Coturnix japonica: one gene and its partner. The protein of the gene in region 2 purifies or fractionates together with the protein of the main gene of each other region. This does not show direct contact. Links are inferred from orthologs where the notes say so. Each region holds a gene or a part of one and is shown on either strand. Other genes may lie near its edges.

What was found.
Region 1: the proteins of GNAI3 (region 2) and RIC8A purify together in Homo sapiens (affinity purification with mass spectrometry; 3 studies listed by BioGRID and IntAct, counting the BioPlex papers as one, with this or other methods). This does not show direct contact. The link is inferred for Coturnix japonica from reciprocal best matches to the Homo sapiens genes GNAI3 and RIC8A.

Annotation. Positions count from the first base shown.
Region 1 is NC_029520.1:1,400,452-1,404,982, reverse strand, and holds the start of RIC8A (synembryn-A), read left to right. Parts: upstream 1-1,603; 5' UTR 1,604-1,719; intron 1,720-1,737; exon of another isoform or gene 1,738-1,828; intron 1,829-1,925; 5' UTR 1,926-2,024; coding exon 2,025-2,108; intron 2,109-4,322; coding exon 4,323-4,370; intron 4,371-4,531. Other genes in the region: BET1L (BET1-like protein), read right to left, coding at 65-232, 932-988, 1,333-1,424, 1,566-1,584.
Region 2 is NC_029541.1:1,615,456-1,618,225, reverse strand, and holds part of GNAI3 (guanine nucleotide-binding protein G(i) subunit alpha), read right to left. Parts: intron 2,207-2,770; coding exon 2,078-2,206; intron 94-2,077; coding exon 1-93. UniProt on the Homo sapiens protein: Heterotrimeric guanine nucleotide-binding proteins (G proteins) function as transducers downstream of G protein-coupled receptors (GPCRs) in numerous signaling cascades.

The DNA of each region.
Region 1 (4,531 bases), on a different chromosome or scaffold from region 2:
AAGGCGCTGAACAAGTCTGTCAATCACATTGATTTAGTTCAGTAAAACTACGCAAGAACCAAGATCAAGTCCCAGCTTTGGACACAAGATAGTAGAGGATGAAGAAAACAACAACCAGTCCTACAGAAACAAAGCAGAGTAACTTGCGGTTCTCCCTCCCAGAGCGTGTCATGGTGCTGAATCGCTTCATGCTGCCGGTCAGCAGCCCAGTAGCACTCAGAAAATCCGAATCCTAGAGGAGAAACAAAGTGCAAAAAGCAGCATTTCAAACTGGAGAGGCAGCCCATGAGGAGGGTCCAGCTTCCTGCTTAAAGAACAACTGCAGCAGCTGCGCTGTAACTGCCTGTATCTCTGTACCTATCGTGTCTCTCTTATGAGGAACTTCCCTGCCTGCGCTCGTGGCAAAGGCACAGGTAAATACTGCATACCAAGTATCTCTACATAAAGCTAGCACCGTTAATGCCTGCCAGGGCAGGCTAAAAAGCACCAAAACCACGCAGTTTCTTTCCATTAGTTCTCTTTTTTTTCTTTCAGCATGGGGCAGCATACACTTGTAACACCACCAGGTGGCAGCAAACAAGTCTTAAAGCAATTCATTATCATTTCGACTCCACGTCTGTTTTCCTTTCTCATAAACTACCTCCCACTTTTTGCTCACGTTTCTCCTGAAATATCCCTAAATCTTCTCTAATAGAAGCACAATTGCGTGCTGATTCGGGGCTTCTCCTTTAAGATCTCTTGTCTTTACATCTCTCATTCCAACTCTCCACTCTTTTGATTTCTAGGCTGAACAAATATCCAGTTCAGATACTCCAAGGCCATACACTGCTATTAAGGTTCCAAGCTATTAAGCTTCCAAGCTCCCACCTTTGACCAAACTGGTCCCAACATTGAAATTCATGCTTTTTACCCTTCTTTTTTGGTTCCTTACCATGCTATCCAGGTAACGGTTCTGTTCATCAGCATCTTTATCAATATCCAGAGCCAGCTACACAGCATAAGAGAGGAAATTGACGTTAATGAACACCAAGACAACCTGGAACGCATCTAGGCCCACACTAGAGGATGTGGTGGAGGTTTGTTAAGCACAGCCACAAAACAAGGCCTCTCACTCACTGCAGTTTGGGGTTGTGGGAATCCTTTTGCTGTGGAAATAATCTGGGAAAGCTGGCAGAAACTTCCCTATGTTGGACATATGACAACAGCTGACGGACCAGCACTGCCTCCTACTGCTACACGTCAGCCATCGTATGCCCACAGCACTGAGGAAGCCCACACAACTGCGTTGTCCCTGAGACCCTGCAAGCGTCCATAGCAGCGCCAGCAACTCACCGACTTCAGCCTGGTGACTTTGCTGGCCAGGTTGTCTGTCATGCGCTTGTTCTCCACGTCCAGCATATCCTCCATAGCAACCGCATTCTGTCCTGAGGAGAAAAGAAACGCGTCTCATCATCCCGACTGGGGAGCATGGCACATCCCCAAGATGGCGGCGGGGTGCCCCAAGATGGCGGCGGGGCGCCCCCTTTAGCAGCCCCTCAGCGCGCCCCTCACTCCTTCCCCCTCACCTCGCCCCCAGTCCGCCATGGCGGCACACGGCGAAAGGCGGCTCCGCCCGGCAGGAGGAGCTCCGCCTCTGTAAAATGGCCGCTGGGCCTTCGCCTTCCCTGTTGGGTAGTGAGGAGCGGGGAGCTATTACGGGAAGCACCGTGATCTGCTGCGGTAATCCTCGGGTGGGGAGGGGGGGGTGTCCCAGCGCTGTGCTGGGAGGGCATGCATTAAACGTCGGAAAGCAAAGAGGAAAGAAGAGGATTAGAGGGGCAGAGAGGCTGTACGTGGTTCACCCGTCTGCTTTATGGACGCAGCAGTGAGCCGGCTCGCTTGATTTTTGTTTCTTTTTCCCCACCCCCTTTCTCACTGCCTCTCAGTTCTCAAGGATCGAGGTCCCTTTGCACCGCTGTTATCCAGGAGCTCTGGAAGCCTTTCCTCTCTGCTTCCCATCCTGCTGTAGCTGAGCTGTTGGTATCATGGAGCTCAGGACCGTAGTGGCCACGGTGGAAAGCGGGGAGCAAGACGCGGTCCTCAAGGTGCTTCAGATCTACAACCAGGAGGTGAGTGAGCATCACACCTCAGCCTGATGTCACCTGCTGCTGTCAGCAAGCCTGGAAGCAGGTTGGGCCGTGTTATGGGTTCACAGTGCTGCCCAGCTATCCCATCTCCTCTGAGCATCTGTCTCTGCATTATTGCCCTGGAGATGTCATAGACTGCTTTGTTTTGTTACTTGCAAGCTGCTTCTTAATGATGCTTTACTAGGAAGCAGCTAAGAAGCCTCCCTTTATCTTGTTTATGCTGGAAGAAAAGTACATGGGAAGGATTTTCTTTATTATCCAGATTGCAAGTTAAACCCGGTAGGGGAATAATCATGGGCATGAGGAGTAGGAGGAGCCTTGATGCTAGGCAAGGTTTGGAGGTAATAAAACTCACACCTAGGGAGGAGCTGCAGGTAGGATTGTTGTGATTTGTAAGCAAAAGACAATTAGGAGTTGGTGTGAATGGATGCTGGGATTGGATTAGGGTGCCTGATCTGAAAGCTGGCGCATGAAATAATGAGTGTAGAACATGAAAAAGACCGGGTCAGGAAGCTGAAGTGCGAGTGACTCTAACCTTAGATCATCTGCAGGGGTAGTTCCCTTTTGAAACTGTCTGCCAGGGAAATTTCCTTCAGAGGGTTTCCACCAGGCTAGGGCTGGCCCTGCAGATCTGTGACTCATTCTGCACCATTCTGAAGTAGGAGGGAAGCTGGTGGGGAAAACCTGTGCTTATCTTACAAGCATGTGCACTTCCCTTCCTGCACTAACTGTTTCCAGCAGTCGGTTTTGAAACAGCAGGTCCCTTTTAAAAGGTTGGTCTGCAGGATTAGCGTTGCTGGCAGCAGCTGGTGTGCTGGAGAAATTAGGATAGTAAATGGCATTTGTTGTGCAACCGTGTTGAGGCACTAAATCCAATGCTTTGAATTCCTCCAGCTGGTTTCTTTGTCAGCGTGTAGAGCATAGGAAACTTGTGAGGATGTCAGTCATTTTGCTAGCTTGTCTGGGAGAAATGAGCTGAAGAGATTAAACTGATTATAAGCCAACCGACTTCCTTGCATAGTTTTTTTTACTACAAAAGCAGGTGCTGTTATATTCTTCTCTAGGTATATATATATATTTAATTCACTATTAAATATGCAGTCAGTTCCTGGTTGTCGGGAATAGAATACAGCTAAAGCCAAACCCACAGGTGTGTTATGGAAATATTTGTGAATGAGATTACAGGAGCCTGCAAAGAAGCTCTGGAAATGCCTTTGTGCACGAGGTCAGTCTGACTAACGTTCTGACTGACATGAGAAGGTTCACAGATGCAAGGGAAAGCTCCGTTCTGCATAGAGTGGAGCGTTCACCTGTTTTAATTGGCTGTGTGTGAAGAACGTGAGCTGAATAACAGTCCTACTTCAGGATGCTGTAGGAAGAACATAAGGATTTGTTTGCAAGTAGCAAGGAAGTGATGCTTTCTATTAGGAAGGAAAAGAAACAATAACAAAGGGGAGAAGAGCGTACACATAGCTTGGTAGAGTCATTAAGCGTAATCAAGTTTACCCAGGGAAGCTGTGGATACCAGGCCAGGCTGAATGGGGTTTTGGACAACCTGAGCTTGTGGTGTTCATGCCCATGGCAAGGGGTTGGAATTCAGATGATCTTTAAGGTCCCTTAAGACCCAAACTATACTATGAGTTATGGGATATTTGGAATGTATTGAATACCCACCTCACAGCTGCAGTATATAAAATTAAGCTGGTCCATCAGATGGGCACAGCTTTGGCCTGTGACATGTGGTGTCCACCACTGAGCCAGCAGAAGAGAGTATGGGGTGTTCATCGAATGTTTTTCAGGCATGAAAGAGAAGGAAAACAATTCTGACTTGGCAGCATGGGCTGTATCTGGGCTTTTCAAATGAGGTTCGTTCCCTGCTTGTTAAAATGTAGCTGAAGTTGCTGGATACAAACAGTGTTGAACAGAGAAGACAATAATGAAGCAAAGCTCTCAGCAACAGGAAAAACTGTCCTTGTGTCTGGCTCCTACCTATGCTGTTTGTTAAAGAGGTGTGCAGTATTCATAGGTTTTTTAACACTCTTTGCCTCTTTGATTCCCTGTGCTGGTAAAGACTTCTTGAGAAGGCTTACTTGTCTTTATAGAGTGCTTTTCAGAGTTGCTTTCCAAGCTTATTCCCTGTTTGGGAAAGGCAGATTTGTGGATTTTTAAACTCATACTTTCTTTTCTGCTCTACAGAAATCTCAATGCTTTACCTTTGATGATGAGGAACGGGAGGAGAGGAAGGTAGGCGTGCTCTTTGGCTTCTTGTTCTTGTTGTCCTGTAGATGGTGGCTGGGGATAAAAATCAGTATTCTTCCAACATTAGCAATCCCTTTGGGTTTGGTGATGCATATGGCTTCAGCAGCATGCATGAGAAGCATGATCCTGTGTGTGTGTGTGTGTGT
Region 2 (2,770 bases):
CTCAGGGCCACACAGAAAATGATGGCCGTGACCCCCTCGAAGCAGTGGATCCACTTCTTCCGCTCCGACCGCTGCCCACCCACATCGAACATCCTGCAGAGGCACAGCACACACTGAGAGGCCACACAGAGCTCTGCCCTGACACGGGAGGTGGGGGGGGCTCATGGAAGGGCCTGGTTTGCACTTCAAACCGAGCACACAGCCTGGGAGCAACACAGAGCCCCCCCTCAGGACCCCAGCGGGCTCTGATTCTCTTTGGAGCCATTTGAGCAGAACAAGCCAAGGTTCAGCCATCAGCTGCTGATTCACAAGGGCACGCTTGTTTTGTTCCCTGCCTCCCATTTCCTTAGCAACAATCCAGTTTGCTTGACTGGACTCCAAACACCTACTCACATCAGCTCTTCCAGTTCATTTACACTGAGCCTGACAAAGGTTTATCTGGAGCATGGCTATCTACCTGCACACTGCTGCTAAAAGAAAACCACTGTGAGGTCAAGAAACGCTTTTATGCATGGAAACAAAGAAAGAAAGAAACAAACAGGTGAGCTGCTGCAGCTCAAAGCTCAGTGTAGGAGCTCCTGGCTATGAGAGCACTGCAGTGCAGCACCTCGGCTGATAGCAGCACTGCTCTGCTGAGACACAGGGCTGCCCAGAGCCCTTCAACCCATCGTGTATCCAAGAGGCACAGAAATCATGAGCACGGATTTGTTATCACAGCAAACACGCAGACAAGGGGGGCACTGTGCAGCATGGGCCAAAAGCAACACAACGCGGTGACGTCAAAGCAGAGAGCCGCAAGAGCAGCTCTGCTAACTCCTGTCTTCTATTTAAGGCAAATGCCCGCTGGTTCCCAGAAGGAAAGAGGAAGATCTCTGCCCAGATAGGGGCTATTTGCTCAGCTTCCACCATCCACCGTGGCTGCTGTTAGCACACATGAATCTGGAAGGAAACAGCATCCATCCCTGACAGCTCGGCCTCACACTGATCCACATTCAAGTCACACTTGCACCACATCAGCCCACTGTTATCAGCTGAGCCTTCACAGCAGGGCTCCAGCACAGCAGGATGGCAGCTCTCACACCTCCCTTATAGAGCAAATCCCTCTACAGACACCCCGTGTCTCCAGGAGGGCAGGGAAGGGGCAGCCCCTGTTTGCAGCTGTGATGCTGAAGGGAGCCTGGATCCCCATCCATCACACGCAATGATTTCTAAGAGCAAACTGCAGCTGGAAACACATCGTGATGGAAGACAAACCTTCAGCCATGTAAACAGCTCCACGGTGCAAAGCACTTCTGCTCAAACCATTTGTAAGTTACGACAGAAGCCAGAGCACTACAGTTCTCCTAGAGGGCATGCAAGCAAACCACAATCTATAAGCAACACATGGTTTTTTGCTAGGGCTCTTTCCAAACACAAGCTAAAAGTTAAGCCAATAAATGCTTATTTAGTGGCTTGGAGCAACGACAGCTTGAAAACAGGGCCAGAGGATGAGGGAAACTCGCCCACAACACAACACTGTGTTCTCCTACATCCAGGGGCTGCCTGCTGGGATGGGGACACACAGCACGGAGGGCTAAGTGCTAAGGGCAGGGAGCTCAGCTGCACTCCAACAGCTGCTATGGGGTTAGAGGGAGCTCTGTGGGTCACACTGACAGGGATGCTGGCCAGACATACAGAGGGCCAGGAGTCCCTCACAGCTCTGCTGGATGCGCATGGCAGCACCACGTGCCCAGAGCCAGGGCCTAAGGGACAGCCCTCACCTCCCATGTCAAAGAAAAGGGGGTTACACTCAAACTCAGCAGCCAGGAGTCAGCGCCCTTTTAGTATTAGTTGCTGTTCTGCTCCTGTGAACAAGCACTCAGTACCTGCGTCTGCGAGTCCAACATAAAAGCAGCTGGAAAGAACAGAAGAAGGCAAAGAAAAGTCAAACCAGAGAGCAGTGCTGGCACAGGGGGAGGCGCTTTGCTGGGGGCGTGGAACCTCCCCCCACCCCTCTGAGCACTGAGGAACTCACTGCAGCCCATAGGAGCCTATAGGATCCCATAGGAGCCTATAGGAGCCCATGCTCTTGGCTTACTTGAAGTAGAGGTCCTTGAAGGTGAAGTGTGTCTCCACGATGCCCGTTGTTTTCACCCGGGTGCGCAGCACATCCTGCTGAGTCGGAATGTAGGTCGGCTGGGATATTCTATCCAAGTCGTTCAGGTAACTAAACCAGAAGAGACAACACCGGGGGGGGGGGTGTTTGGTTGGTTCCTTTTTTAGGCCGCGCTCTCGCTATGAATCTTTTATGAACTGCAGGAGAAAGTCATCACTGAATGTATTCAATGCAGACCTCAAACACGCAGCAAATAGACACGAGCTCCCACGGCTCTGCCCTCGGGGGGGTTGTATTAATTCCCCCCCCCCCAACACGACCTTGCAGTGTGTGCTGGGAGCAGTGCTGGGCAGCAGGGCAATGCAGGAGGAGCTGCTGGAGGAGCCGTGCCAAGGCTGTTATCTCTCAGGGCAATGCAAAGCAGTCAAGGTTTTTTTGCATCAAAGTGCGAGGCAATAAATCCAGCAGCTCACTTTAAAGGGCAAGGATGCATCAAACGAGGCAGCAGGAAGGAATGCAGCATAAAGAGCAGGCAGGTTCATTCACAACCTTCAGCAAGGCCAGCTGACAGCCAGGGCTGCCCCATGGTGGCTGTGGGGAGGACTCACAGCAGGTCAGGGCAGCCCACAGCCTCCTCCTGCTGCCCACCACCACATCCAGGTTCGCTGGATACAA